Nothobranchius furzeri: one gene and its partner. The protein of the gene in region 2 interacts with the protein of the main gene of each other region in a biochemical or structural test. Links are inferred from orthologs where the notes say so. Each region holds a gene or a part of one and is shown on either strand. Other genes may lie near its edges. The genes, in order: hadhb and hadhab.

What was found.
Region 1: the proteins of hadhab (region 2) and hadhb are reported together in a solved structure, tested with the Homo sapiens proteins (2 studies listed by IntAct, with this or other methods). The link is inferred for Nothobranchius furzeri from reciprocal best matches to the Homo sapiens genes HADHA and HADHB.

What each region holds. Positions count from the first base shown.
Region 1 is NC_091742.1:11,814,932-11,830,042, forward strand, and holds the end of hadhb (trifunctional enzyme subunit beta, mitochondrial), read right to left. Parts: intron 14,567-15,111; 5' UTR 14,561-14,566; coding exon 14,494-14,560; intron 14,307-14,493; coding exon 14,265-14,306; intron 14,067-14,264; coding exon 13,970-14,066; intron 13,796-13,969; coding exon 13,751-13,795; intron 13,621-13,750; coding exon 13,521-13,620; intron 13,417-13,520; coding exon 13,329-13,416; intron 13,196-13,328; coding exon 13,008-13,195; intron 12,934-13,007; coding exon 12,753-12,933; intron 10,052-12,752; coding exon 9,930-10,051; intron 9,727-9,929; coding exon 9,647-9,726; intron 9,577-9,646; coding exon 9,529-9,576; intron 9,451-9,528; coding exon 9,363-9,450; intron 9,236-9,362; coding exon 9,161-9,235; intron 7,701-9,160; coding exon 7,536-7,700; intron 7,466-7,535; coding exon 7,430-7,465; 3' UTR 7,125-7,429; downstream 1-7,124. UniProt on the Homo sapiens protein: Mitochondrial trifunctional enzyme catalyzes the last three of the four reactions of the mitochondrial beta-oxidation pathway.
Region 2 is NC_091758.1:20,999,783-21,015,296, reverse strand, and holds hadhab (hydroxyacyl-CoA dehydrogenase trifunctional multienzyme complex subunit alpha b), read left to right. Parts: upstream 1-319; 5' UTR 320-548; coding exon 549-615; intron 616-1,268; coding exon 1,269-1,310; intron 1,311-1,396; coding exon 1,397-1,467; intron 1,468-1,536; coding exon 1,537-1,670; intron 1,671-5,962; coding exon 5,963-6,101; intron 6,102-6,182; coding exon 6,183-6,302; intron 6,303-9,649; coding exon 9,650-9,752; intron 9,753-9,857; coding exon 9,858-9,980; intron 9,981-10,048; coding exon 10,049-10,167; intron 10,168-10,426; coding exon 10,427-10,483; intron 10,484-10,567; coding exon 10,568-10,677; intron 10,678-10,759; coding exon 10,760-10,894; intron 10,895-10,979; coding exon 10,980-11,151; intron 11,152-11,233; coding exon 11,234-11,320; intron 11,321-11,396; coding exon 11,397-11,537; intron 11,538-11,998; coding exon 11,999-12,067; intron 12,068-12,157; coding exon 12,158-12,353; intron 12,354-12,433; coding exon 12,434-12,548; intron 12,549-12,654; coding exon 12,655-12,800; intron 12,801-12,966; and 3 more. UniProt on the Homo sapiens protein: Mitochondrial trifunctional enzyme catalyzes the last three of the four reactions of the mitochondrial beta-oxidation pathway.

The DNA of each region.
Region 1 (15,111 bases), on a different chromosome or scaffold from region 2:
GGACACAGCACACACACACACACACACACACACACACACACACACACACACACACGTGCAGCTTCTCAGGACAGCCAATTACCGTTGCTCATAATCCACTTGCTCCACACTGCCTCTGCCATCCACCTGTGTACAAGTCAGTGTACATCCAGCAGATGCCTAGATGTATTTATGAGTGTGTGTGCCAAAGTTCCCTCCAGAATCCAAAAAAGAGACTCCGTGCTCCGCACTCAAGCCCCTGGTCAGATCAGCTTGGGTACTTCGCTACAGTTCAGTGCGCTGACTTCACCCGTTTGGATCCGTTTCACGTCTCCAGGTGTTACCGAGCCGAACCCAGAACAGTCCGAAGGTGTTTGTGTTGTCTGTCAGACCCAGAACAAGCATCACCTCAGAGACTTAAACAAAAACCCAGCCTGATCATACTGAGAGTTTGTGTTACAGAGACAAAATAAAACACTTTGATTTTTATGTAGGAGGGAAAACTTTCTTACAGAATAACGAGCTAAAACATTTGTGAAGTATTCATCAACACAGTCGGGTGTTTTGGTGAAAATCTGCAAAGGAAAGATTGCTGCATTTAGACTTCATCACATCAACTTTGATGACTAGTTCTCAAAGAAGAAACTACATTGTTTCTGGTAGATTCTTAAAAAAAATAAATTGGCATTTACTGAAGCATTTTCTCTCTTTTGCTGACAAAGCTCAATCTCAATAAACTCAACTATCATCCATTATCTGAGCCCGCTTGTCCACGCAGGGTCATGGTGGGCTGGTGGGGGCTCCAGCAGTCAACAGGCAGGGTACACCCTGGACAGATTGCCAATCCATCACAGGGCAACACAGAAACACACACACACACACACACACACACACACACACACACACACACACACATAGGTCATTTTTCAAATCAAAGCTTTATTTATAAAGTGCCTTCCGCAACCCTGTCAGGAAGCCCAATTTTTAATCTGACAGTCATGTTTTTGAACTGTGGGAGGAAGCCAGAGCACCCACAGAGAACCCACACATGCACAGGGAGAACATGCAAACATGCAAAAAGACCTCAGGCCGGGATTTGAACCCGGGACCTTCTTGCTGCAAGGCAACAGCACTAACCACTGTGCAGCCCTAAACTAAATCTCTGAGATCAACTGCACATTTCAGATTTTTATCCAATTATCTACATTGAGTTGCATGCAGTTCAACTAAACCTTAAACTGTTTTGCACATTGAAGTCTGTGAAAACTCCATTCCAGTTTATCTACATGGTGCATGTAAAAGTGGCATGGGAGCTGACGTAAGCGCCTCCCAACGTACAAATAAACAGTCAGTAAAAACACTCCAACTTTTAAACAACTCTTTAGAGCAGGAATATTCAATTCCAGCGTGTTTTGGTGGTTTCTCTGCTCAAACACACCAAATTCAGTGGTTGAATCACCTGTGCAGCAGCTCATCGGGCTCTGCAGAAGCCTGTTAATCATCTGCTGATTGAAACCAGGTGTGCTGAAGCAGGGTTAAAACTAAAACGTGCTGGATACCGGCCCTCCGGGACCGGGGTTGAATACTCCTGCTTTAGAGGACACAGAGTGTTTTTTGTTTTTCAGATAATTATCAGATCTCACTAGTGTAGTAAATTAAAGGATCTAAATAGCATTTTTAGATTAAAAATATTAAGATATTCCCAAAAAAGGTCAAGCAAACATGTGAAATGTAGAGTTTTGGTTACGATTCTTTATCGATACCCAAAGGGGCGATTTGCTTGAGAACATCTCCAAAAAGTATCAAATTAAGAATAAATTAAGTTAAAATACAAAACCACAAATAAAATAGTTCCACTAGGTCAATAATGTATTTTTTTCAGTAAAGTCACTGATCAATTTATGAACTTTAAGCTGTAACAGTGAGGAAAAAAAAACTAGCAAAAACTGTTCTAAACCAAATACGTGATGACACACGATGGCTGTGTAACAACGAGGAACAACCGAGGACAGGTGAGTCCTGATTAGGTCGGCCCAAAGCCAGACAGCAGCCCTGGAGCGAGTTAACGGTCTCAGCGTCACGGTTTCCATGCAGACAGGAAGACTGGATTTTATAGTTTATGCATGCTCATGGCAGAGTATTTTACTTAATCCAACACTTATACAAACGAGTGCAAATTATTTAGTTTCTTAAAATCCTGAAAAAAAACTCAGATTTGCAGGCTTGCTTCCTTCTATTTAGACCTCGGGATCTATTTATGCCGATCGGGTCATAGGATGGTGATGTATGTTGTAAAAATACAGCTGATATCATCAGGCTGGACTCATTTCAGGCTGATTCTGGTTCCTTTAAAGTTGTGTTTGACATTAATTTAGCATGTTGTGCTGTAAATTTGTGAAAAGGTGGACCACCTCGATTACAGAATTCGTAATCTACTGGTAACAAATGTCAAATAATACACGAACATTGGATTACTGACTCATACATTAAACATAGAAGTTCATGTGAGTTAATAAATAAATGCACAGGTGTACTTTTTAGGATTAGTATCAGAAGGTGTTTTTGTCGTTTCTTCCCATCTTACATTTTAAACAAAACACACGCATGGGTACTTTCAGTAGTGATGGCATATTAGGCACAACCGAGAAGGTGAACAAACAAAAAGGTGACAAGAACAAGTTACGTATTTTTCCTGAGTAAAGTAGAAATGTCGAGAAAAAAATATCTAATTATTGTCAGAAAAAGTTGAAAGAAGACTTTTCCAGAGGGAGTGTGAGGAAATTAACCCCACTGTGCTCCTGAACTCATCTATGTCTGCAGTTTCTGCACATTTTGACATATTAAACTATAAAAACACATCATTTTACTTAATATGAGGTGCGGTCATTTAACTACTTCTGCAGCTGCAGCCACTGAGGTCAACAAGGAAATTCCTTCACAATAAAAGTCGCAAACGCTCCAAGACATTTTAAGCTCATAAATAGTTTTGAAATACATTTACAGGAAAACAATATTAAAGTAACAATAAATAGTTTTTTTAATTTTAAGCTAGAGCCTTAACATTGATCTCAGTGGTTGTAGAGTTAGAAACTTGACCTGTTTCATCTATGACACCACTCTGCTGCCCTCTGCTGGCCAGATACCACTGATAGTTTTGTGGAGCTGTTAGCTGTAATGCTAACTATTAGCTTTTTCAGTTTGCTTATCATCAATAAAAAGCAAAATAAGAAGAAAAAGAAGTTTACTTTTCTGTCGGTATCATGGCGGAGCCTGGAAGTAAACGTAAGAGAGTAATGTCTTTGGACGTGAAGCAAAGAGCTAAAACCAGGGTGAACATCGGTGCTGCCTACGCTAATCTGAGGGAGCTACAGAAGGCTACAAAATCACAGACTGATGGGGACCTGGCTTTGTTGCTACTGGACGTTATTTACTCCAGCTACTGGATGTTTGTGTTAGCTTGTTGTTAGCGCTAGCTTCTGCAGGCCGCAGTAGGATTGTTTGCGACAGTTACACTTTCAACCAGTAGGGTCAGTGAGCAGGATACTGCTCAGTGTTACTTTAAAGTGACTGAGTGTATTTTCCGAGGTGATAAAGGGCAGTGCATACCTAAATCACTGCAAGCAGTATTTTTGTGTTTGAGTAAGACCTTACCAATGGATGGCCATAAGGGTCAAAAATCTCTGGTGGTGCAATTTTTGAACAAGTACTTCGTCTGATAGTTAACCTCCAGCCTCCTGTCACTGTATCCCGATTGATCATGCGCCCTGGCTACTTGGCCACAGGGATATCCCAGGCTGACTGGTTAGCACGTGACACATACCCGGGAGTGTGGGGGTCGAATCCCGCCCAGGACCTCGTTTCTCCACCTTGCCGAAACTGGCAACAAGCGAAAAGGTCAATGTGTAAAACAACATTTATAAATGGCAAAAGTTTTGTACCTGCTTGTTACAAATTGGGAATTGCTTTTTATCCTCACGGGCTCCTGTAGAAGGAAACATTGCATCTAATTTGGCGTCTTCCAGAGACTTAGACCCGCTTCTATGTATTTTAAACCCAATTTTTATGGTTATATGATACAAAGCCGCCAATATTTTTTAAACCGTGGGATCATTTAATTCATTTTCAACATTTCGATTTTCAGAGATTAACGGTGAAAACTACACATTGTCTCTTTAATGAAACACTTTTTAAACATTAGATGCACTAACATATGTGTGAGTTTAAGAAGTCCTAAAACAGTTAGCTTTTTTTAGCAATAAGATTTCAAAACTTCACCTTAACAATTTTTATTATGAAAATAATGTAGACATCTTTCACCACCTTTTGCTTTTATTCTCAATAGTAATAATTCAATAACGATATATAATGATCAATAAAAGTTTCATTTTTCCATTAAACCCTATTGGGTAGCTTCAAACTAGAGCCATTACTTACATCCAACCAATCAAAAACACAGATCCAAGCACGCTCCATCACCAAGCCCTCGCTTCTTAAACCTAAAGAGACAGCAATGTGACTTAAACAAGATGCTGCAGCAAGGAGAGGTCAGAGTGCTTCACCAGTGTGGCAATACGTTCATCCTTACAAGTCTGACACAAAACAAACAATGTTGTTTTGCAACACCGGGTACTCCGGCTTCTTCCCACAGTCCAAAAACATGACTGTTAGGTTGATTGGGATTGGTCTGTCCAAATTGTCCTTAGGTGTGAGTGTGTGTGTGTGTGTGTGTGTGTGTGTGTGTGTGTGTGTGTGTGTGTGTGTGTGTGTGTGTGTGTGTGTGTGTGTGTGTGTGTTTGTCCTGTGTGACTCTGTATTGCCCTGCGATCGACTGGCTCTCTGTCCAGGGTGTACCCCACCTGATAGGCACCATCGTCATATGGTGTGCTGTATGGGGCAAAATCTGTCTTCTGTGTGAATTTGAAACAAAAATAGAAAAAATATCATGTTCTTATGTGTTGCATTAACATGTTAAAGCACATTTTTACACGTCTTCCAGATGAATTTGGAGCATATTCATTGATTAGGTTTTATTTTGTCATATTTTGATAAATATGATCAAATCTTAATTTTAAACAGAAAAACAAAAAGAAACATCAACAGGAAAAAAATATCTAATTAAATAGGAATTGTCAGTTTGAAAAATGAGTAATTAGCTAATGTTTATTTAAAACTACCCCGATTTTATTTTTGTAGTTGAAGTTTGTGTTTTTATTTTAACTTGAAAATGTATTTTTTGTGCTTTTTTTCGTTAATTATAATTTTATTGGGACCTTTTTGCTGCATCAGCTACACACAAAAACCAAAAAACAACAGATTTCCAAAAAAAATTAGTGAAATTGGCAACATTTTAGTGCCAACGAGAAAAAAAATAGGGATAAAAAACTAATCAGTAAATAAACTAACTCTTTCATCGTGTTTTTATCACAGATGCATGTACAGTAGCAGCCTTGTTATGGTGCAGCACTGTAAAACATCTTGTCTAACAACACACACACACACACACACACACACACACACACACACACACACACACACAGCGCACCTAGCAGGTGGAGGAAGTTAAGTGCAGCTTTCAGCAGGTGCCGCCCTGCGTGAGCCGGCTACGACGAGATGAAAGACGCCGCTGTACTCCCAGTCTCTCCCCGGCTCCCTTCACCGTGCCAACACGCCGAACATCCTCCACGCACCTTCCTTCCTCCCCTCCCCGCTTCCCCGCGCGCTCCGTGAGGCAGATTTGTAGTGACAGCAGCGGGTGCATTCGCTAGTCATTCCCCATAAAAGGTTCCGTCTGATCAAAGCCCCGCTGAGGCAGCGAGGCGGCTCGCTATGTCGGTGTGTGTCTGCGTGTCTCTGGTGTCTCGCAGGGTTGAGGAGCTTTTTGAAGCTTTATAAACACAAAACCCCTCTCTGTCTATCTCCCTGCTATTTACATTTGAGCTCCGTTTTGCCTTGGCAGTAAAACATTGGTTTTATTCCCTCTGCCTGCAGCCCGCGTGACAGGCTCGGCTGCATTAATCAGCTCCTCCCCGCTCCGAGTCAAGGATTCCTTAAACTGGAAGAATTAAATCTTTAAATACATTTTAAACGGAAGTGTCTGACTGAAGTTATGTTAACAAGCCCCCCAACCTGAGAGGTGTGTGTGTGCTGAGCAGAGATTCCCCGGTGAGCGCTGAGGGGATCGCACACACCAAAGCAGAGAGGAGGCAATGTGTTGATATAAATTTACCAATCCGCTGTCAATTAGCCAAAGCTTTTAGCGGGTGTAAAAGTTGTTTTTTTTTTCCCACCGTATAGACGACACCAGTGCACGCTGAACTTTTAAGTCATCTGCCAGTCACGCTCCCAATTTTCCATATTAATGTTGTTTTAAATCACCAGGAAGCCTCAGCACACCTCTTTACCTCCTCATTAACATCAGTCGTCGCGTCAGAAGCAGGCAGCATTTTTTCACAATCAATTAAGGCAAAGGAATGCAGGGCAGGTTTACTGCTGACACATCTGGGTATGGAGACTCCATAAAAAATATGCAAGTAGAAAAAAAATTGGCAATGCAAATTTGGAAGGCTGTTTAGACTTTTAACAGACTCCACACCCCTTCTGCCTAAATTCTGTTTTCATCCACTGCACAAAGGCCTCTATACATTGATCTTTTCCTCACAATGGTTTCCATCTCTGCTGAATAAAACATAGGCCGATTGCTTGAAGTTGTCCATGTGTCAAGGCCCTCTATCAGCAAAGAGTTCTGATTCTTTGAACAAAAAAGTCCAAATGTGACTAAAAACAGCATAAAAAGTCATTCTGATGATACTGGAGGTGTATCCTCGTTTGCAGAAAACGCATAAAAGCTATTTTTAACTGTGTTGTTTAAAAGTTAGAACAGAAACTGTCGTAGAAGCTTCCTGAGTGGCCTCTGTTTGGAGAAATTCAGTTTACGATCCACTGGAATGATGAGCTAACTGCTAGTCTGGGAGGAGTTGTCTTAAAATGGCGGTTGATAAGGTGGCCCTGTGGGGGTTACTTTGGGGGACCAGGCCCTCTGACGCAGGTTAAATACTTCTGCTTCGACTGCAACAAAATGCATCACAAACATTATATTGATACCTCTAGACCATTTAGGTAGCACTAGAAAAGCAACAGACCCAGGCTTTACTGTGGTTATCGTCACACCATTTAATTATGAAAAACATCTTACAGTGTTTATTAACATTAGATCACCACGGCTCCGCTGAGCTCTTTAAACTTTGCTATGTTACATTAGACTCTGAGACTCTGCTGACAAATCCAGAAAACCTTCCTCTGCAGCCTCCGAGCCGAGTCTCGTTCACACCTTCAAACACATCCACCCTTCTGTTGGATTAAGGCAGCTTTTATGTACACCATCGTTCAGATGTTAGCAGGGACATGAACAGCAGTCACGATGAAGATCAGGATCTAAACGAAGGAGCGTGCATTACTGGGGGTAGGCCTCAATCACCATGGCGTGACCCTGGAAGAGACAGAACATTTAAATACATCTCGGTAACGTTCAGGTTGAGAACGGCTCGGCCTCTGGTTACCTGTCCTCCAGCAGCACACGCTGCCACCAGTCCGTACTGGCCTCCCTCCTTCTTCAGCCGATGAGCTACAGTAGTTGCCAGCCTGCAGCCCGTGGCACCAAACGGGTGGCCCAGAGACAAGGAGCCCCCCCAAGTGTTGAACTTCTCCATGGCAGGAGCCCCGACCTGAGCAGAAAGGCAGCTTTAGGCCAGGGTGAACATTTTAATTATAGACTGTCTGACAATATTTAACGTGAACATTTATCGTATATCTATGTATAATTAACTAGTGATTTGCCTTTTTTCACCCGATATTCAAACTTATTCAACAAGACATTTTTATTTGCATCTGTGCGGAACGTTAACTCATTCGCTGCCAGCCGTTTCCTGATCGGTAAACCCCTTCCCTGCCAGCGTTTCTCAATGTTTTTTTAAGAGTCACAGAACGTTGCGCACTAGGATGATGTCGACGCCAAAACAACCAAAACAAAGCAGAGACTCGCCTCTTACATCAGGAAGAATCCGCGTGTTTCGAGCGTTATCCATTCTTTCATAATACGTTGTTGAATTGTGATCGGCAGAAGCTTTTCCGGTTCGCGCCTCACTTTTTTTACAGCAGCGGCCCAAAGCGATCTCCTAACACATGGATTTTCTGCTTCCTGATCATGTGACGTGTGCAGATGAAGATCTGCTTTAGAGCTGAGATGTTTGTTCTCACGGTGCGGGGGCTCGTCCGACGCCCACACAGTAAAAACATGCAAATGACGACTTTAGTCGTCAATGGCAGTGAATGAGTTAATAAGGAAAACACACCTAAACATAAAGGGCTTGCCTTTAGAAGAAACTCAGTTCATAACTGGACTTCATTCATTTAAACAACAAAGAAAAATGATGTAAATTTCAATATTAAACCCCTGCTGCTGAAATAGTTGATGTCACAGAGGAGGTGGCTTTATAAGAACTTGTGGTTTTCTTTACCTCTCCTGCAGTATTTTTTTCTATTAACTATATATTGTTGTTATTCTGTTTGCTTGCAAATAAACAAACATTTACACTAATAACCATAATTAAAGAGCAAGTCACCCCAAATAACCTTTTTTTTGCTGATAAACTAAAGAAACGAGTGTCTAATCGTGCTGCAGACACGTGCCGTCAATAATTTGGCACTTCAGTGCATCTTAATTAAAATTTAAATATTCTGCCTAAAACTGGCGGTGTTGTGCCGTTGTCAGGTACAAACTGCTCTGTATTCTAATTTAAATCTGCCACCGCTATTGGCTAAGAGGTATGCTATGATGTAAACTGGTAGATTATGATGTCACAATGCCTGTGTGTGTGTGTATTTGTTAGCAGCTCCGCCCCCTCGGTCTGCCAGGCAACAGCATTTGTTGCATTTTTCAAACATGAAGTGGGAGTGGAGTTAGAATCTGGTAGGGGTTGACTTGCTCTTTAATGTTAAACAAAGATAATAACGGAACTCCAACATTTTTGGGTGGAAAACACTTTCTAGAACCTTTTTGCACGTTTGACATTTAAATTATATGAAAATTTGTGCAGAATTTTAATTTTAATTACACACTTAAACAAACAATTCTCCAATTATTTTGCATTAGAAACCCCGATGTGCTCCGAAGATCTTATGTTACCTTCGATTTCCTGCCCATGTACGTCTGAGCAAACCAATCTGAGTCCATGGCTTTCAGGTTTGCCATAATCTGACCCTGAAAAACAAGCATACGCACGGTTACCATAGTAACGAGCTAAAGATGAATCTCTCCTAATGTTTAAATTGACAAACAATTAAGCTAACGTTTAGTTTTTTTCTATACGTCTACGGAGAGGACTTACTGCGAACGCCTCATGAAACTCAAACACATCAATATCAGCCATGGACAAGCCGGCTCGTTCCAGGACTTTAGGTGTAGCGTACGTCGGCCTGAAAGGGTCAAAAAGATGTTCAGAAGGCTGAAAAATGTAAATTATAAATTTTCTCCAATGAAGATGACAAGCTCACCCCAAAAGCAGCTGATCTTTGGGGTCCTGAGACACATACACAAAGTCTCTGCCAGAACAAAAATATACAGATTAGCATCAAAGCACAAAACATAATAAAATAAGAACTAAATACGTACCTGAGGTACGCTTTGGGCTTAAAACCCATGGCCAAAGCCTTCTCCTCAGACATGATGAGCACAGCTGAGGCACCGTCAGTCTGATGAAATAAACGTACATTTATTTACAGTCGAGGAAAAATCAGACAAACGTGACGGAAGAGAAGAAGCTGAAAGACAAGCAGAGACATAAAAAGCTCCATCTAGACTTCTAGCGGAGAAGATCATGGTGGAATAAAGTTCTAACTGATGAGTTTCCATCACACCGGAGCAGAAAGACCCCGAGAGTCCAGGCGAGTTTTACCAGGAAGGACGAGTTGGCGGCAGTGACGGTCCCGTGAGGTTTAACGAAGGCAGGTTTGAGTTTGGCCATTTGCTCCATGGACGATGGGCGGATACCGTTGTCCTGAGACACAATATCACGACCTGAAGAGACAAACATACAGACTTTTAACCACAGTTTGTTCCCCTAAACATTCTGTAAACAAAACAAATGACAGTAAAGATAATAATCAGTAGGGGTGAGACACGTGCCAACTCAAACATCTATTCATAAATGTTCATAACCGATTATAAATAAATGCTAAAACAGCCGTCGGGCGTGGTAGGAACATAAAAGTTACTTGTGCCACCCGGACACTTTACGGGACGGACCAGCGAAAAAAACAAACCCGCAACGGCGGAAGCTTTTTTTTTTATTAGTTTCAGCCACTGAGTGTGAGATTTACTCGTCAGACAGATTAAAGAAGAGTTGTGTAAAACTAAAAGCACAACAGCAACACACCTTCCGCGTTTCCATCCCGGGTTAGATAAAGAGAAGAAGCCAGAGGTTATTCCTCCTAACTAGCAAACAGCCGAGGAAGGATTAACTAAACTTTCCCGCAACTCCGGCCTCTCCATAAATCTCCGGCGTTGCTTTGCTGCAAAGCCGAGGCAGCACCCGGGAGCCTTTGGCCACATAAAAGTGGTCACATGATGGTGGGATAAAGGGTGTGGGCGCCGTCTCCTCGCTGTCACAAGCTTCCTGTTAGCTTGAACGTAACTTGCTTTGGTAACACTTTAGTTTAGGGGACACAAAGTAACCATTAATTAGCTGCCAATTTACATACATATTAGTGGACTACTAAGTCTGAATTGGTCATTATTAAGCTATTATTAGATGATTATTACCAACGCTGTAATTCTAATATTAGCAGGCCATAAATTAAGAGTTTTATCAAAATGAGCCAATCATAATGGTTTGTTGCTGATTCAATATCATCAATGTGAGGCTTGTAACAAAGTAATTGAAGGGGAATAATTATTCTGCATTAATAACCAAAAATATTACGTTCTGGTAATATGCAAATAAACACCAAACTCCATGTTAATAGAGCCTAAACAACAATCTAACCACTTGTAAGCAAGAATATGTTCCCCATTCTAAAGTCAGATTTTGTTCATACCTAATTACTAGTAGTTCTGTATTAATTAACCACTTAAAGGCAAGAATATGTTCCCCTTGAATTACATCTTTAAAAGCCACATATTGACCCTTTGCACCGACGTCACCTAATCACGTGGGTCCACCATGGTGGACGGCTAAAGCATGTAAACAGTGAGCGACACGAGTAGTAAACAAAGGGAAAAGTAGAGCCTGAAATTGTTTTTGTGATCAAAACAAAAACAAAACTCCTCCAGCATTCCTTCCACTAGTTCATGCCCAGTTCAGTTATCAGAAGAAGTAGCGCATCTAGCGGGGGCTCATAGAGAGCGGTATGTTAACTAGCTTACCAACGTTAGCTTACGTTCTCTCTGCAGCTGTTCACCGATGTAAACATGTTGCTGACTTTGCCTAAATTCACCCCTTTGGATTTATAACTTTATGTTGTAAACAGCATTTTACACCAAAGCTGAGTCCGGATCCCTACCAGCTTCTGTTGCTGGTGGTGTTACCGGGTTCAGCTGCTGCTCTCACACCGGAATGAGAAGATCTCTGAATGCCGACGCTCATATAAATAAATAACATCATTTTACCACACGTAATCATACATCTGAGCTTTAATATTGTTAATAATTGTCTCGCTTTACACTACAGTGGACGGAGCGCAGCCTCCGTGGTGAAATACCCATCCATCAGGATTATCAATAACTAGTATAAACACATCACATTTATCCCTGTCTTCCTCGTGAAATAAATGAACGTTAATCTTACCAGGTAAAAACATGTTTGCTGCAAATCTGAGGCCTGCTAGTCCGCTTGATTGATCGCTGCATCATCTCCGTCATCAGTCTCCATCAAAGTTATTAAAAGTAAAAAACGAGTTGAGTTTACGTCCTTGTCTCTTAGTGCAGCCGACCACGCAGCAAGCTAAAACCATTTTACTGTCAAATCAACTAAATAAAAGCGATACAAGGCTACAAACTGGCTTGTTTTGACTACCATCACTGGAGTTTCTACGGGTGTAAACGGTCTTTTTGCCGTCCAGCATGGCGAAGGGGGCGGTCACATGAGTGGCGTGACGTCACGTGCAAAGGGTCAGTTGATGTGAGCTACTTAGCATGTGTGTTAATCAGCAACAAACCAGTTACCAAACAGGTAACAAACCATTATGAATGGCTTATTTAGATAAAACTCTTAGTTTATGGCCTGTTAATGTTAGAATGACGGCATTAGTAATAAGCTGTTTATAAGTGCTTAATAATGACTAGCTCAGACTTAGATGTCCACTAATATGCATATTAATTAGCAGCTAATTAATGGTTAATTGGTGTTCCCTAAACTAAAGTGTTATGCCGACTGAAGCAACGCTCCTAAAGGTCCTCACAGCCCCACGTGAACGGTCGGGTGTTTTAAAGACCAGAAGCGCCACATCTCTGCCGACTCTCAGCTGATCCCAGTTCAAAAACTAAACTGACCTGTTAACTTTCATTATCCAGGTTTATCCTGTAGGTTTCAAGCCTACGTAGGGAATTTGTTCGATCTTACATGAATAAAGTAGTGGAGTAAACGGTATTTGGTAGCTTGAATTAACGTGTGCTGAATTAAGTGGAAAAAAACAAAAAGCTATGACAAGAGAAAAAAAAGACAGCAAGAATCTACGTAAGATGGCACAGCCCTACTGTTGAGGTGAGAAGCAGAGCTTACCTGGCACTTTAAAGGACACCACATCCTCCAGCAGCCCGTCGCTCTGGGCCTTTTTGGCGAGTGTGTGTGATCGTAGCGCAAACTCGTCTTGTTCCACTCTGGAGACGCCAAACGCAGCAGCCAGGCGATCTGCACTGTGACCCATCGTCTCCGCTGTGGAGAACTCCGCCACGGCGGGAAGCTGCCGAAACACACAATCGACACTCAGGAAGAAACTCCACAATCTGATCAAAAGAATTAAACGTAAATGCTAACTTCGGGGGAGAGGTGGGCAAGCCGGATGCTGCCAACCAGGCTGAGTCTCTGTCCGACGGTTTTTGCCTTGTTGAGGGCCAACATCGTCTTTCTCATCTTTCGGCTATGGCGGATCGGAACGTCGGACATGAACTCCACTCCGCCTGCAACAACGGCGTCACACTGGCCTGCAGCGATCAGTCCAACAGCTGAAGAACAGGAGATAAAGGTCAAACTGAGGGAGGAACAGGGTAAACTGTAGAAATGTTAGTTTGATTTAATGCTAACACCAATAAAACTAAAGAAAAGAAAAAAAAACAACGTGGAGATGTGTCAACATACCTGAGGTCATGGCCTGGTTGGAGGAGATGCAGGCCATGGTGACGGTGTGAGCTGGAATCTTGTCAGAGAACCCCGCCCCGAGAGCTGCCTGGAGTTACATAAATACAGAAAAACAGACGTCGTTGACACACGGGGACCCACGGCTAATGCCTGCTTATCAGCGTGTTCATCCAGCACGTGTTGATCATGTACCTCTCGTGCCACGTTGCTGGTTTTGACTTCCTGAATAACTGTTCCGTACACAATGTAGTCCACAGCATCTCTGGGGATTCCTGTTCGGTTTAGCAGACCCCTAAAAAAACCGTTGGAAAAGGTAGGAAACCGATGAGGCTAATGGAATTAGAAATGAACTTTAGCATCCACAGTTTTATGGCAGACTTTATGAGAAATTAATTAAAAAGACACTAGAGCCACACACTTACTTAAGAGCTGCCCTGGCAAGGTCATGAGGCATTAAATCAGCATATCTGTAAACGAATAGTCAAAATGTCCCATCAAGCAGCAAGAACAGGATCCCAAAGATTCATCTGGCTTTTTTCCCTTTTTATCTAATTAAATTTTAAATGAAAAGTATTTATTTTACATTCTTAATCACACTAAACTGTCTCTATGTGAAAGCACAGACTTCCGCAGACACGTACGTGGTTCCTGACAACAAGAAAGGGGTTCGAACTCCTTCCACTAGAACGATGTTCCTCACACCCGGACGAGCCAGTGTCTTCTTGCTTTTTGTTTGAACTGAGAAAAGAAAAACACAAACAAGTCTTTATAATGTGACCGTATGAAGTTAAGCACTTAGTTTTGTGTGGGGATTAAAAAAATGAGAGAAATAAGTCTTTTTTTCACACTTATGGAAGGTTTGAACTGTTGGCTCCACATTTTAAGCAGACTAATGCGTGAATTCAAACTTCGGTTCATGTAATAATGTTACCTTACCCTGAGCTTGAAGCTGTGCTGTTGTACTGAGAGAGCGTGCACCTGTGTGAAACAGCAAATCATTGTCATGATCGATTAGAAACAACAGCCGCTGTTGCACCAGTACAGTTTAATCTTCATCATTTAGGACAAATGAAAATTAAACGTTGTGTAGTATTCATGGAAGCAACCCTTTTTCTGTGGAGTAATTATCTGCAGATAAACCGTAAAAAGGACCAAGACATCTTACCAATGCGAGCTGCCCAAGAAGGGGCAACAGTGCAGGTCCGCATTGTGTTCAACAGCATGGAGGCCATTATGTTCTAGATCGAAACAAACAATGATTTAAGAAAAAATACACCAACAACACAGAAAGTTTATTAAAAATGTTAGTGTATCTAGTTTTTTTTTTTAATTTTTAATACTCAAGAAACCTCCAGAAATCTTGGCTTCCTTCGAAGAAATCACGATTATTATTTATGGCGTAGTCTGAATAATCCTTTGGGGTCATGTTAACAGCATCTTGCATTTGGGGGGGGGGGGGGGGGGGGCAGCAGTAGCTCAACAGGTTGAGCGGGTTGTCCAGTAATCGGAAGGTTGCAGGCTCGATCCCGGCTCCCCAGGGCAGCTGTGGCTACATCGTAGCTCATCACCATCAGTGTGTGTGTGAGTGTGTGAATGGATGAATGATACACTGTAGTGTGAAGCGCCTTGGAGTCCTTACTCTCAGAGGCGCTATACAAGTGCGGGTCATTTATCATTTCTCTTTTCGCTGCTGCATTAACAGCAACACCACATTTTCATGTAATACTAAGATGCTTCTTTCACGACTAAAGTTCAACTTTGATTATGATTTCAACCTCTGAGT
Region 2 (15,514 bases):
TTGAATATTTTCTGTAAACTTTTCAGTTTTCACTCATAAAAGGGTATAAACGTCATAAGATGAACACACACATACACATGGCTTTAATCATTCTGGGTAAAATTAGAGATACGTTGACGTAAAAATAGCTCTTTCAACCAACCAATGAAATGTGAGGTTTTTCAAAGGCAACCAATCAGCTTCTAGTCCTACTGGCTGTTTGATCCGTAAGATTTACCCTCCGTCCGACTATACGCGGTGTGCCAGTCAGGCGGGGTTTGTGTTGCATTTCAAGTCAATGCATCTGCTGCCCCGCTCACATGCAGAACGTTACAGGGGTTTGGGGGCTTAATTATCTATTTTAGTCCTAAATAACGTAGACATACACGATTAAAGTCAGTTAATCTACTGGAAATAAACGTCTCCTGCTCCTGCCAAAAAAGACTCCTCCTTCGCCGCTCACCATCACTTCTAGCCGGGTCATAGCCCGGCTAACTAAAAAGGATTGATCCCGGTGATCAAGCAAGCTTGCTTCACTCCGACACTGCAGACTGACCTCCATTCCCAACATGGCTAGCATTCGAGCTATTGGTGTTTTATCCAGATTGTCATCAAGGCGATATGCTCCCATGTCTGGTAGGACGCATCCACTTTGAATTTATTCTGTAAAGACGACCAGTGCGGTGTGTTTAATTATAAAAACGTGGTTTTCAAAGATATTCTTAGTTTGGTGGTGTAGCTGCTAACCGAAAAGAATTGTGCATGAATGCAGTAAAGCACATGTGAGAACACGCTTGTTTTGCTATTTCAACAAACATATATTAATAAACATTTAAACCGAAGATTTTAAGTATTTATCATTTTGATGGGGTAGCTAACCCGGGGTTCACATGCTACTAATGCTAACTAGTTCGACGCTACGTAATCACTACAGCCATAAAATATGTCACTATATTAAGACGTTTTTAATCAAAGTCTGAACTTAGTACGAGGCAAGACTGTGTGAATTATGTTATGTGAGGAGTTGACGTGTTTTGCCATTCATTCGTCATTGTGATGGCCCCTATGTGTGGTAGGGTGGGAATGTAGGTGAAAAGTCATTCTTCTACTGGCTTGCCTGGAATGGCTTAGACCGCCTGAGGTCACGAGAACATGTCACATTTACACTTCATATGTTTATTTAATGGCATTTACAGAAATAGTTTGTAGAAATAGTAATTTACAATTAGTTTCACAGTTAGTTTTACATATAACCACTTAGAATTAAACTGTGTTTCCTTTTTTTTCAGGCAGCATTTTTCGCACCTTCTCAGTAGCTTCAGCCATGCTTGGTAATTTAAAAACAATCACACGTCGTCTGATTATTCAAACCTCGCTGTCAGCTCAACTAATTCAACCCCCACCTTATCTATTGTAGCCCGAACCCATGTCAACTATGAAGTCAAGGGAGATGTTGCAGTCATACGGATCAACGACCCAAACTCCAAGGTGAGTGCTCAATCACAACACATCCAAAAGGTGTGAACCATGTGGAAAAACTATGACGTCTCCCTTCAGGTTAACACGCTGTCGGTTCAGATGCAGAAAGAGATGACAGAGGTCATGAGTGAAGTTTGGGCCAATGATGCGGTTAAAAGTGCCGTCCTCATCTCCTCAAAGCCTGGATGTTTCATCGCAGGAGCTGATATTAAGTAAGACACATTTCTGATTGAACTCGTGTGACTTCCTGTTTTGTTTGGCAGTAATAACGACTAATCGTATGAGGTATGGTGGGAGTTCTGGTTCTGGAATTAAAAAAATGAAGAGTCCAAGACCTGCCACCTCACAGAAGGGGGGATATCTTTTAGGGTGTTAAAAGTCACACTAGACCCAAAAATAATATCTACTAATAAATGAATATACATATATAATAAAAGAGTCACCAGAGGCAGGTGAATCCTTCAGTCCCAAAGATTTAGTCACCATTTTGTTCTAATTGAAGTGTTACATTCATTACAGTGCAGCTAAGTTACAAGTAAATGCACACCGAATAACAAACCATGTTTATGTTGCTGTAGGTTGTCACGGTGTGAAAATTTAACCTCACGGTTATTGTGACCAAAATTATCACGGTTTTCGGTATTATCGCGGTATTTTTTTTTAAACGTGGTACATTTTCAGACAACTAAATAAACCCTGTATATCAGGAAAATATCGTCCTCAGTTTGTGTCTAAATTTTGCCTAAAATGTGTTATTTTGTAATTATGTTGTTTATTTGTTTACATATTTTCCCTCTAGTCTTTAAAATACCAATATTTGCCCATAACTTCTTATTTTATGTCTGTTTGATGTCATCATTTTAAAAATATTAGATCAGATGATATTCAGTACTCAAGTAGCCTTGTAATCAGATACTTTTTTACCCTTACTTGAGTAATAAACCCTATATGAGGAAAATATTGTCCTCGGTTTGTGTCCTTCCAGTGAGCTTTGCAGATGTGGGAAAATGTCATCAGCCAGTAATCGTTGTTAAATTCATAATTATTCTCAGAGAGAGACCAACTCCTATCTGTCCCTGGGAGCCCCGTAATGCATAGCGTTGTTTCAACATGGGGGTGTCCGCGACACGGTTTATATGCAGGTAGCGGCGCTGCGGCTGCTTTATATAGCGACTCGTTGCATTCTCCCTCAACCCAAATCCTCAGATCACGCATTTTAGCTAAAACGCTAACGTTAGCTTTCCTTGCGTTGACTGTAGAGTTGTGGGTGATGGTCACGCAGATGTGTCATGAGATTTGAAGCGTTGCTGCCTTTCACAGACACTTTTTCTGCACGTGCTGCAAACAGGATAGCCGTCTTCTATAAACTGTTCCTCGGCATTCTTCAAATATCCAAAAGATGCCCGTACTTCCCACTTTGTCTTCTTTGAGGGATTAAAAAATGAGGGATAAAAAATGTCCTCCTGAGCGCTGCCGTCTCCTCCTTTGGCCATTATTTCAGCTTTAGCTTCAAGAAAGTTTTGGTCGTAAACAACAAAGCGTGCATGTGCTGCCGGCAACTTCAGCAGATGATACGGTGGCTGGTAAGGGTCACCGCGCCTACACCGCAGCCACGGTAATCCCACCAAGATAATATAGTTTTTTTAAAAACAAGACGGTTATTATTATTGTCAACTTTTTTACCATGGTTTACCGCTACACCGGTTACCATGACGACCCTAAACCCCACACGGGTTTTCATACACTTTGAAACAGGGCTATTCAATTCTGGTCCTCGAGGGCCGCTATAGAGCTCCGGACCCCACGTGACTCTCAAGCCCTTTTCAGACAGACATTCTGGAACATTTGTGGACAATTCAATCCGGTTTTTAACCGGAACTGTGTTTTCAGACATGCCACTTTTGTACCGGAACTTGTCCTTTCGGCTGCATTCACACAGCAGGGAAAAGTTCCAGATGTCTGACGGCAGCGGGGGGTGGGGTGGGGGAATCGGACTTATGTTAAGAAGAACAAGAAGAAAATATCATTTCTATAGCGCCTCTCAAGATAAAAGTCACGAGGCGCTTAAGCATAATTCTGCGCACACGAAGACGCATAAGAGACCTGGATGATGAAGCTCAATGGTTAAAGGAATCACTGAAGCGGTGTGAAGCGCTCCGTCACACGTCTAGGCGGTACCGTAGGAGGCGAGCTGCCGTGGTTCGCCGCATTCTACAGCAGCGGGCTATCTGGGTGCGCACAGCGTCCCCCGGTCCCCTCCTCCTCTCCCTCCCTCTTGTCCGGAACTCTACCTCACCAGTCTGAAGCAGCCACCCTGTCCGTAACAAGTCCGGACCTGTTACTTGGGGCTTCGTCCGGATAAATTCTGGAACACATTATCCGGATGTTTGTATTCAGACAGAAAGGTCTTACGGACAGATTCCGGAACATTTCCGTTTTTCATGGCCTGTCTGAAGGGGGCTTCAGTTAGTAGACGCCATATTGGCAGGCAAAAAAGGTAAACAAACACGGATCGTAAACATGAACGAGATCGGCTTGGATTTTACTTCGTCGGAGTTTACTTCACACTTTAACACCGAATAAATCGTTTTATATAGTCAGAAACTAAATAGACTAAACATCTCCGACCCTTACCGTGCCCCTGGGATACTTTTTAAAAACGCCAGAAGCTGTCGGAGCAGACTTCTTACCGGACCTGGCCGGGGGACCCCTTGGGATTTCCCCGGAGGAACTGGCCCAAGTTGCTGGGGAGAGGGAAGTCTGGGCCTCTCGACGCTACTGGCCCCGCAACCCGACTCCGGATACGCGGATGGACAAATAGCATAGATTTACATGTAAGTAGTTTAAATGGAGTGCTGTGCTGTTTGAATGTATAAACTGAACGTCAAGAGAAATCACTAGTTTGATTTTTTTTCCATGAATAAAATAAATATGTCAGGCAGGAGCGTCTCAGGATCTGTCTGAGATCTGTCTCGGTGAAACAGATAATAGCAATCCAAAGTGCTTTTTATGTGTGATCCTACAATCGATCAACCATTGCTTAAAAATTAAATACAGCTTAGCCGGTTAATTGCTGTGATCATAAAACACGGAAACGGCAGCACGCAGAACTCACGAGGCAACGTTTTACGTGATGTTTACTTGTTGCTATGAGTAATAAGACATAAAAAGCCACGCCAAAATAAGTTTAGGAAGCCCACTAAGAATCGTATTAAAAGCATTTAAAATAAATACCATACACAGTTGAGGAAACGTTGGTTTAAGTACCTGATATGAAGTGGTCGCTGCATAAGCGAAATCCTTTACTGTTGTTATCCCACAATTTCATTTTAGCCCGGCCACTAGTGCGCTTTATTGTGATGATCCAACGTTTGCGGGGTTCCGGATCTTGGGGAATCCTGTAGATGGCTCATTCCTTATGTCGTCCGTGTCTGTTCTGCATCTTGGGGCACAACAGGAATCTACCATATTTCCCGTTTGATTGAGTTTTTAACAAATAGTCCAGCTGCGGGCTTCTGCCTGCCAATATGGCGCCGTTTCGATTTGAACTGTTGCATGCCGGGAGAAGTGACGTCAACTCCCGGAGCTCTATAGGCACATTTTAGTTTTAACTCTGCTTCAACACACCTGATTTCAATCAGCAGATGATTAACAGGCTTCTGCAGAGCCTGATGAGCTGCTGCACAGTTGATCCAACCACTGAATCAAGTGTGTTGGAGCAGAGAAACCACTAAAACGTGCTGGATACCGGCCCTCGAGGCCCGGATTTGAATAGCCCTGCTTTAAACCGTCTGAGTTATGTTTAAAAGCTAAACAGAGACCTTCCTTTGCCATCATCTTGGATGGACTGATGTGCTTCATTACAGCATGAAAAGCAATGGAGTTGCAAAAGTCCGTGAAAAACCGCCGCACAAGTGGTACTCAAAAATTTTTGACAAGGTTGGCAGGTCTGCTATTGTCAGTTCTGGTCAGCAGGTGGCGTGCTTGGCAAAAAAAAAAACATATCACAGTACATGATAAGATAATCACTTTTATGGTTTTTAGAAAAAAACATAATAATTCCTGAAAGAGGAAAACGCTGAAAAAATACTTTAAAGGAGGAAAATCACTTTTTTTGCACAACAGCTGTTTTGCTCTGCCATGTTTCTGTTTTAAATATAAATTCCTTCATTCTTGAGTAGTGACGGATAATCCATGTTTACTGCACAAAGACAGGACTCGTGTCTCTGTTATAAACTGCCTCGGTGCTGCTCTTTCACACTTGAGTCTTTTGCCTTCCTCAACATTGCATTATTAATCACCATTCATCATAACAACTTTGAAACATTTACAATGAATTCTGAATTATTTATGCAGAGAAATTCATTGTAAATTAGATTTACTTGGCTTTGTTGTTTTCGCTGAAAGCTTTTATTGCTGCTAGCTGCGTCCACTCTGGCTGTTTGTAAAGAACGTATCAAAACGATGGTGCGTGCATCTAAAACACTTGACTCTCTCCGTCCAGCATGATCCAGGCCTGCAAAACCTCAGAAGAGATCTCTAAACTTTCTCAGGAAGGACAGAAGATGTTTGAGCAGATTGAAAATTCTCCAAAGCCCATCGTTGCTGCCATCAACGGCTCATGTTTAGGAGGAGGCTTGGAGGTAAACGAGTCAAGTGTGTTGTGAAAAGTGAACTTATTGTATAAAGGTTTACTATAACAGGCATCTTTTTGTGTGTTTTAGTTTGCCATTGCCTGCCAGTACAGAATTGCAACAAAGAGCAAGAAGACTGTTCTAGGTACCCCTGAAGTGATGCTGGGCCTTTTACCTGGAGCTGGTGGGACACAGAGGCTACCCAAAATGGTTCGTATTGAAATGATAAATTATGCTTTTGGTGTTCAATCAGTTAAGAAGTGGTTTGGTGTTTATCTCAGTTATAGTGTGTGAAGCATTCTGGTGTAGCTATCTGAACAAAACCTGCAGAGTAATCTGGTTATTGCTTGTAATTGGTTTAAGAAGCTGACGGGTGTCGGTACAAGATCGGCTCGGGGTCTTTCGACTGCCGATGACGTCAAAGTACGGCAAACCCACTCGGACAAAATACACTACACATCTAAACTGCTGGAAAGAATTTAGCAGTTTCGTTATTAAAATAATGTTTCTTACGACGTAAGTTTGTGTTTATAATGGTATTTGTAAAATAAAACACTATATTTTATTCATAATGTTGAACTCCTCTTTGAGCACATCCCTTGAAGAATCATAGGTATTAGAAACACCTGTGAAATTGTATTTGCAGGAAAGAAGTGTGTCCCGTTTATTGAAGTATTTTGTGTTTAGAGTTTTTGACGTCCATGCGTAGTTCAGTTACGCTCATAGCTGCTAGCCAAAACTCTGGAGTTAAAAGTTTTCTGGCTTTACTAAAATACCTGTCTGTACTTATTTGATTGATGGTAGTTTTACTTTCTATTAGACTCCAAATGTAATCATTTGGCACGTTTCTAATTCATAATTTGTAAGAATGTAATCGGTGATATTAGCATTAGCATTCTTATGGGTTTTTCCATGTATATTAGCATTGCGCTAACCACGCTCTGCCAAATTGCAGCCTTTGCGATTAGAAAATCTCCTTTCGTCACATCGCAATTTAATTGCACATGCAGTTAATCGTTCAGCCCTAATATGCATGCAGCTCTATGCTAAAAGTGTATTTTCGAAGAGGTAATGATGGATTTCTTTGTAAAAGTTGTCCATCTTTCCAACAGAAAAATTTGCCTGGACCAACGCAACGTGATAATAATGTAACATGATTACGTAATTCCGTAAGGTTCATGTTCAGCCAATCAACTGCTTTGATGTCATCGGCAGTCGAAGGACCCCGAGCCGATCTTGCACCCGAGCAGATCCTGTACCAACACCTTCTACACTGGTAGCCTGCAGACAGCAAACAAGACAATCCCTTTTCCCTAGGGATAATCATGCCCGGTGCCCTAAAACCCTGATAGAAACCACACTGGTGCATTTTATCTCACTGGGGGGGGGGGGGTGGGGGGGTGGGGGGGGGGGGGTCGCTGGAGTTTTATTTGTTGACAATTAAAATTGCTCCAACGTTTTCAAAGTTAAAAACATTTCTTTTAATCAATCAATCAATCAAATTTATTTCTAAAGCGCTTTTCAAACAAAGTGTGATTCAAAGTGCTTTACAAAATGACCCCATATTCCCATAACAGGTTAAAAACATTAACAAACATATGCAAGCACACACGCACACACACACAGACTCACACACACACACAAGTAAAAATTATATTAGGCTGAGTCCAGATGAGCCAAGTATGGTAACACAAGGAAACGCCGTCAGAGGAGCCGTCTGTCCCGGCAGCATCAGGTCTTCCACACTAAGTCAAGAGCGCTCAGTGGAAGGGGAGCATAGACCCCCACCTATAGAGCGCCCAGGAAGCTACAGTCGACCACCGCTCCCGGGGCAGAGGGCCCCCACAGAGGAGACACTGGATTAAAATGAGTAAAAATGTAATAAAAGAGCTAACATAAATGACAAAAATTAGAAAATAAGTAATAAATAAAATGATCTAGACAGTAAAATAATAATTTAACAACGGTAGTTTCTGCTTCAGCCCTCCCCCCCTCCCCCTGCGCAGCGGCCGCAAACTCACTGATGCGCCTGCAGCCTCTCAGAGTTCCTGCTGCTCTAAACATTAAAATAATTATTTCATTTTCTGTTCCTCACTTCTGATGACCTTCAATGGTGTCTGTTTGTTGCAACCAGCAGGTAGAAAAACTAACTTTTTATTTGACTATTTTTCTGTCCTGCCTGTTTATTATCTTCCTGCATCTCCTCTCAATCCTAAAGAGAAACTGCTACCTGGGTTCATATATATTCACCTTATGAGTTACCTTTGAACTGCAGTTCTAAAAGATCTACCGACCACAAAAACAGCGAAGTGCCGCTGCTCGCCGGCCGCATCAGTGATCGGTGCGTCACCGGAGGACAAAACAGGTGATGCGCTCCGCTCCACAGCAGCAAAATGCATCAGGCGCAAATAAAAGACAGAAAACATTAAAGGAAATGAGCCGACATGAACAATCATGTGTTAAATTAGTTTTTGAGTTGGCGGCACCTGATTTGATAACGTTACTGTGGCCGTGCTCAGGACGCAGATGTCTGGAGCGCGTCAACGATCAGAGCTTTGCATGCGCAAGCCGGTTAAGGTTAGGATGGGGGTGAGGGGAAGGTTAAAAAGGTCACAATTTGGTCAAATGTCCGTTTTAGGGCATGTGTCAGTACCGACGCTCTGGCACAGCGCGTCGCCTCCCGACGCGCAGGAGCTCGTCACCTGCTGTCTTTTCCGAGGACTGCATCTTGCCGGTCATTATCACGTGACAGCGACTTGTCGATGACAAGCATAAAAAGTCACTACAGAGCAGTGAGGTCGACTAGTCGACTAGTTCATACAACCCCTAGTTGGCACCAGTCGCAGTCAAGCAGACATCATCTAAAGATCTTTGATTTGGCTTTTCAGAAACCTTTTAGATTAAAAGAACCTGAACTTCATCTTTTCCAGCATCTTATTTATATAAAAAGCAAATTTTTTATCCCAAACATCTCTGGTAGTTTAATACAAGCAGATAGGAGAATCTAAGGTGTGATTGTTTGTTTAGTTTCCTAAAGGAGCAGAATGAACTAACCAGTTAGTGCACATCCAGGGTATCCACGGGTCCTTAAAACGTCTTTAAAAGTCTTAAATTTGCTTTTCCAAATTTAAGGCCTTAAAAAGGGCAAAGAATCCTTAAGTACAGTTTCCAAAGGTCTTAAATAACCAAAGACCCAATAAACAAGATTCTTTTTTTTTTTTTTTTTTTTTTTCGTGAATATCTAGTTAGTTTTCAGCATTTTTTGTGAACGATGTTTGCGTAACCGTACACATTCAGTTGGGTGTGAAACGGGGCTAGTTTTAGATGGTTAAGCTAGTGGGAGCTTGCGCCATGAGGAAGTGCAAGTTTAATTTTAACTGGATTGCTAATCCAACGTTCGCAACGTGGTTATCACCGGTTCCAGGCAATAGCTGGAAATTATAGTTTAAATTTAATTTAAGAAATATCTTAAATTTGGTCAAAGTGGTCTTAAAAAGTCTTAAATTTGGCTCCCTTAAACCTGCGGACACCCTGACACCTCTTCTCGCACCCTACAGGTTGGTCTTCCCAATGCCTTTGACATGATGCTGACAGGCAGGAACATCAGAGCGGATAAAGCCAAGAAGATGGGGCTCGTCCACCAGCTCGTCGACCCTCTAGGTCAAAAATCTTCTTAATTAGTTTAAAAACCTAAACCTGCTTTAAACAAGGCTGTCCTGTTGAGCTCCGATGTTGTGAGGTAACTTTGTGTGTGTTTTCTGACAGGACCGGGGCTGAAGAGTCCAGAGGAAAGGACGATCGAGTATCTGGAAGAAGTAGCTGTTGATTGTGCCCGAGGCATCGTCAACAATAAGATTCCTCTCCACAAAGAGAAAGGCTTGATGCAGAGTGGGTGTTGAATCGTTGTCCCCTGAGCCGATTTAGTTCTGATCCAAACTAAAACTCAGTCTCCACAGAAATACAAGACTATGTGATGAGCTTCGAGTTGGTACGGAACCAGATTTACAAAACGGTCCACGATAAAGTCATGAAGCAGAGCAAGGGCCTTTATCCAGCACCTCTGAAGATTATAGAAGTAAGTTGCCCCGTCTCCGTTCTCACTGGCTGCATGGATAGATGAAAGTTCTAGCTCCACTTGGTGGATTGGTCTACTGGATTTGTGTAAAGTTTTTTTTTTCTCTTGTTTAGGAAACAACCCCCTAATGTCTTATTTAGTTCACTTTGGATTCAGAGACACTTATTTAAGATTTATTTCTAACTATTTCATTTTTGTACATTTAAAATTTCACTTTCCTTTTACTTCCTGTTTGGTGATCTCCTGTTTTCTCTTCTAGTGTGTGAAAACTGGGATTGAACAGGGTCCCGATGCGGGATACCTGGCTGAGTCTCAGGTAAAGCCAGTTCGTCTGCGTCTCTGTGGCATTTATTGTTTACATCCGTAAACCAAACATTCATAAGTCACCTGTTTGTCACAGAGCTTCGGTCAGTTAGGGAAGACCCCTGAGTCTGCAGCTCTGATCGGTCTCTATCACGGCCAAGTAGCGTGCAAGAAGAATCGCTTTGGAACTCCTGAAAGAGAAGTGAAGTGAGTGTAGTTCTCACATGTGGTCCTGATGGGGGAACAGACGCCAGCTACACCGTTACCTGTTCTTGTTGTTTACCTGCAGAACTCTGGCCATCCTGGGAGCGGGGCTGATGGGAGCAGGTATCGCCCAGGTGACCGTGGACAAAGGCGTGCACACGATCCTAAAGGACACGACGGTGGAAGGGCTGGCCAGAGGAGAGCAGCAGATTTTCAAAGGGTCAGCAGGCTTCACGCTTTAATAAAAACGTTGTTTTTATAATAAAAGACTCTTAAGTCTAACCAGACAAAATATTTGGATTAAGGCTCAACGATAAGACCAAGAAGAGGAGCATCACGTCGTTTGAGCGAGACTCCATCCTTTCCAACCTGACCGGCCAGCTGGATTACCGGGGCTTTGAAAAGGCTGACATGGTCATCGAGGCCGTGTTTGAAGACATTAGCATCAAACACGCCGTGCTGAAGGAGGTGGAAGCGGTGAGTCGGACTCCAAACAAATGACTTGTTGGACTGAATCTAGTCGCTTTTCATTCTGACCCAAAAAGATGTATGACTGCAGGTGGTGTCCCCCCACTGCATATTCGCCAGCAACACGTCCGCTCTGCCCATCAAGGACATCGCTGCTGCCAGCAGAAGACCAGACAAGGTTTGAGCCGTTTAGAAATACGAAAGAGATTATTAATCATGTGTAAAAGTTCTGATGGGTTTCCCTCCCTCTGTAGGTGATTGGAATGCACTACTTCTCTCCAGTGGACAAGATGCAGCTTCTGGAGATCATAACCACTGATAAGACATCAAAGGACACCACGGCATCCGCCGTGGCGGTCGGCTTGAAGCAGGGCAAAGTCATCATCGTTGTCGGGGTGAGATTTGGTGTTTGCTTATGTTACCTAATGGAAAAGATCAAAGGTTTGATAACAAGCTACTCACTGATGATTTATGTTAAAGGTGCAGTATGTAAGAATACAGTGAGAAAATCCCAAAAGAGTCTAATGTTTCTGTCATTTTGGAAGGAAGGTTACACTGAAACACGTTTCATATCCAGCTGGCTGCGGGGATTGTCGGTTTTTCTCCTTTCAAAACAAAGGAAGGAGGGACGTAACTACTGTTAGCCATCAGTGAGTGTGGGGGTGACGTGTCTCTTGCGAGCTAATACTGCAGCGCCGACGACTGTAATTTGACGACGGTCGGCAAAAAGCTCCAGAATTGTTTAAAGTGGTTGCAGTAACCAAATTTTACCACAGGATGTCATTTTTTACTTCTTTTCTACATAATTCACCTTTAATGTTTTAATAGGAGTATTATTACCCACAATTCTTGGCAGGATGGACCTGGATTCTATACAACTAGGTGTCTAGCCCCCATGTTGGCTGAAGCTGTTCGGGTTCTTCAGGTTAGTTGTGTTTTATTTTAACGGTTAAATTACACACAGAAATGGTTTTTATTAGTGTTATTCGTTATTTTTGTGTCTCTTCACAAACAGGAAGGAGTCGACCCCAAGAAGCTGGACACACTCACCACAAGCTTTGGCTTCCCCGTAGGCGCGGCGACGCTGGCCGATGAGGTCGGTATTGATGTCGCGGCGCACGTGGCCGAAGACCTCGGCAAAGCCTTCGGCTCCAGATTTGGTGGCGGAAACGTGGAGGTTCTGAAGACCATGGTGAATCAGGGCTTTAAAGGTACTGCTGGTCCCATTAGAGAACCGTGTTCATACAAGTTTATTTTACATTTATTAACGATGCTTTTTGTTTTTGTGAAGGCCGTAAATCAGGAAAGGGTTGCTACGTCTACCAGCCAGGACGCAAAGCCAAAGACGTCAACCCAGAGATTGGAGACATTCTGGAGAAGTTTAGGATGACACCGAATCCCGCTGTGTGAGTCAGGATTGAACCCACTACGGGAGCAGCGTTCCACACCATCTCTGAGAGTTCTTTTAGCACTGTGAGTAGAAGTTTAAAGGATGTTGGGTCTTTTCTGCAGGTCGTCGGACTCGGATGTGCAGTACAGGCTCGTTTCTCGATTCGTCAACGAGGCCGTTCTGTGTTTGCAAGAGGGCATCCTGAACAGCCCGCTGGAAGGAGACATTGGAGCAGTGTTTGGGCTGGGGTTCCCGCCCTGCCTCGGCGGTGAGACTTTACCTTCATCACCTTCACTGGAAACAGCCGAACCCGATAATCTCTGTTTTGTTCCACATGAATCACAAAACTTAAGAACACTTTTATGCACCATTTTCATCTCTTTCTTTTATTGTTTTGATTATTTTGGTCTAACCCAACTTTTCCATGCTGCCAGGGCCTTTCCGCTTCGTGGACACCTTTGGCGCTGACAAACTGGTCCAGAAGATGAAGCAGTTTGAAGCCGTGTACGGGAACCAGTTCACACCCTGCCAGCTCCTACTGGATCATGCAAGAGATTCTAGCAAGAGATTTCACAAGTGATGGCGTCGCCCTGCGTGCCAGTAGCTGAGGATAAACTCCAGACCGCCACTAGAATGTGCCTGACATTGGTATCACATACGGGACAAACAGGCTGACAGCTTATTGGTGCACCAAACTCAAAGTGCTGTTTCATCAACAACTCCTGCAATAATTCCCACCTTCATGACTTCATGACTGAGCGAGATGTAGAGTAAATAAATAATTATTACTGAGGATCCAGTTTGAGGCAGTGTGAATGTTTTGCAGAAAAACATGAGCTCTTTGAGTCGAGTGTCCACTAGAGCCTCTAGAATGCCTACCTAATAAACTGGCAGCTGTGTGAAACTAAAAGGTGGTTTTGTTAAATTTTTACTTAAATAATAACTTGATGTGTAGATTAAAGGGCGTGGAGGCTGATACACACACTGCATCTGTAAAGACATTTGTGGAAACTTCCAGCTGCCAATTTCATTGTTTAATACTGATGAATGTTGAGGTTTGGGTTCATTAAGTGTCTTTTTGTACATTAAAGCCTTCCTTGTTTGGAGATTTATGTAAATGTGAAGCTTCAATAAAAGACTATTGAAGGAAATCTGCTTTTGTCTTAGTGTTTGGTTTGAAGGCAGGTTGGACAAAATAAAGTCTTAAAACCTGCCGGACTTGTTTACTTAAGTTATTTAAAGAGCAAGTCACCCCCAAATCACATTTTTTTTGCTGATAAAACTATATAAAGGAGTGTCTAATCATGCTACAGACACGTGTAGTCAATAATTTGGCAGTTCATTGCATCTTGGTTAAAATTAAAATATTCTGCCTAAAACTGTCAGTGTTGCACCGTCGTCAGGGAAAAATTCTGCATTGTATTTGAATTTAAATCTGCCACCGCTATTGGCTAAGGTATGCTATGATGTCATCTGGTATATTACGACGTCATAATGCCATTGTGAGCCTATGTGTGTGTGTATTTGTTAGCGGCTCCGCCCTCTCGGTCTGCCAAGCAACAGCATTTGTTGCATTTTTCAAACATGAAGTGGGAGTGAAGTAAGTTTCTTGTAGGGGGTGACTTGCTCTTTAACCCTTACCTAACATCAAAGCATTTTTGGTGCTAAAATGACATTAATGTTAGAAAATTTAAACGTTGGGAAAGAGTTAAGATATTAGGAGATGGTTTAAGTAGAATCTCTTAAAGGTGCATTATGTAGAAATAAAGTAAAAATGACATCTTATGATAAAATGTGGTTACTGGCACCACTTTAAACAACCGGAGCTTTTTGCGGACAGTCAAAATTGTCGGCTCTGCAGTTTTAGCTCGCAGGAGACACGGCAGCCCCACGCTCACTGATGGTAGACAGTAGTTGCGTCCCTCCTTTGTTTGAAAGGAGAAAAACTGACAATCCCCCCAACTGGATATGAAATGTTTCAGTATAACCTCCCTTCCAAAATGACTGAAATATTAGACTCTTGTGATTTTTTCATTGTGAAATTCTCACTATATTCTTACATACTGCACCTTTAATCCTCCCACCGTCCTAATGGGTGTGACCCAGCGAGGAAAGTTGACCATTGAGCAGGATTGATGGTTTATCCTTTGAGATCCATGTGGCAGGGGTGAGGTGGTGCTCACTCCTCACCCCTGCCACATGGACCCAAGCGATAAACCATCAGCCCTGCTCAATGGTCAACTTTACTCGCGGGGTCACACCCATTAGGACAGTGGGAGGGTTAAACTAAAAAGCCTTTGGGTGGCAGTGACAAAGCTCTAGTCTGGGGTCAAGGCCCTTAACCAGGGATTGGATTGGGAATGGACCACAGCTCCAAATAAAAGCTCGAACAGGACAGGCGAGTGATGGGTGGGTTGGCGTACTGACCTGTCACTGTGACCAGTAGGCTGAGCTGAAAGGAGAACCTTCGACTGTGACCTGTGGGTAAGTGTAAATACAAGCAGCCGAAATGAACTTCCTACACAGATTGGCTATGGATTCACCCTCGGATGGTTGAGAAACTCAGCAGTCACGGGTCCTCCACATAAGGAGCATCTGGTACCAGATGTGTTCCTCAGGGCAGACCCAGGACCTGCCGGAGAGATTACATCTCACTGCTGGCATGGATGAGGTGGCGATGGAGGTATTTGCAGCAGAAGATAAATTTATCATTTAGAACTGGTAAAGACCTCATATTTCTGCCTTTGTTTTTGTGGAGCCAAGTACAATATGCATCAACTGTGAAGCAGTAAATGTCAAATCAGAAGACAGGCTGGACTGAGATGTCCACGCGGAGACCTAAAGGGATGGTTTTTGAAGCAAGTTTCTGAGGAAAGACTATTTCATATCTAGCTGTCGTTACCGGTTTGGAGATTAGTTCCGACTACTAACAATGGGGCCAGTTGCAATGTGAGGCTTTTTTCAGCACAATTATAAACTGTG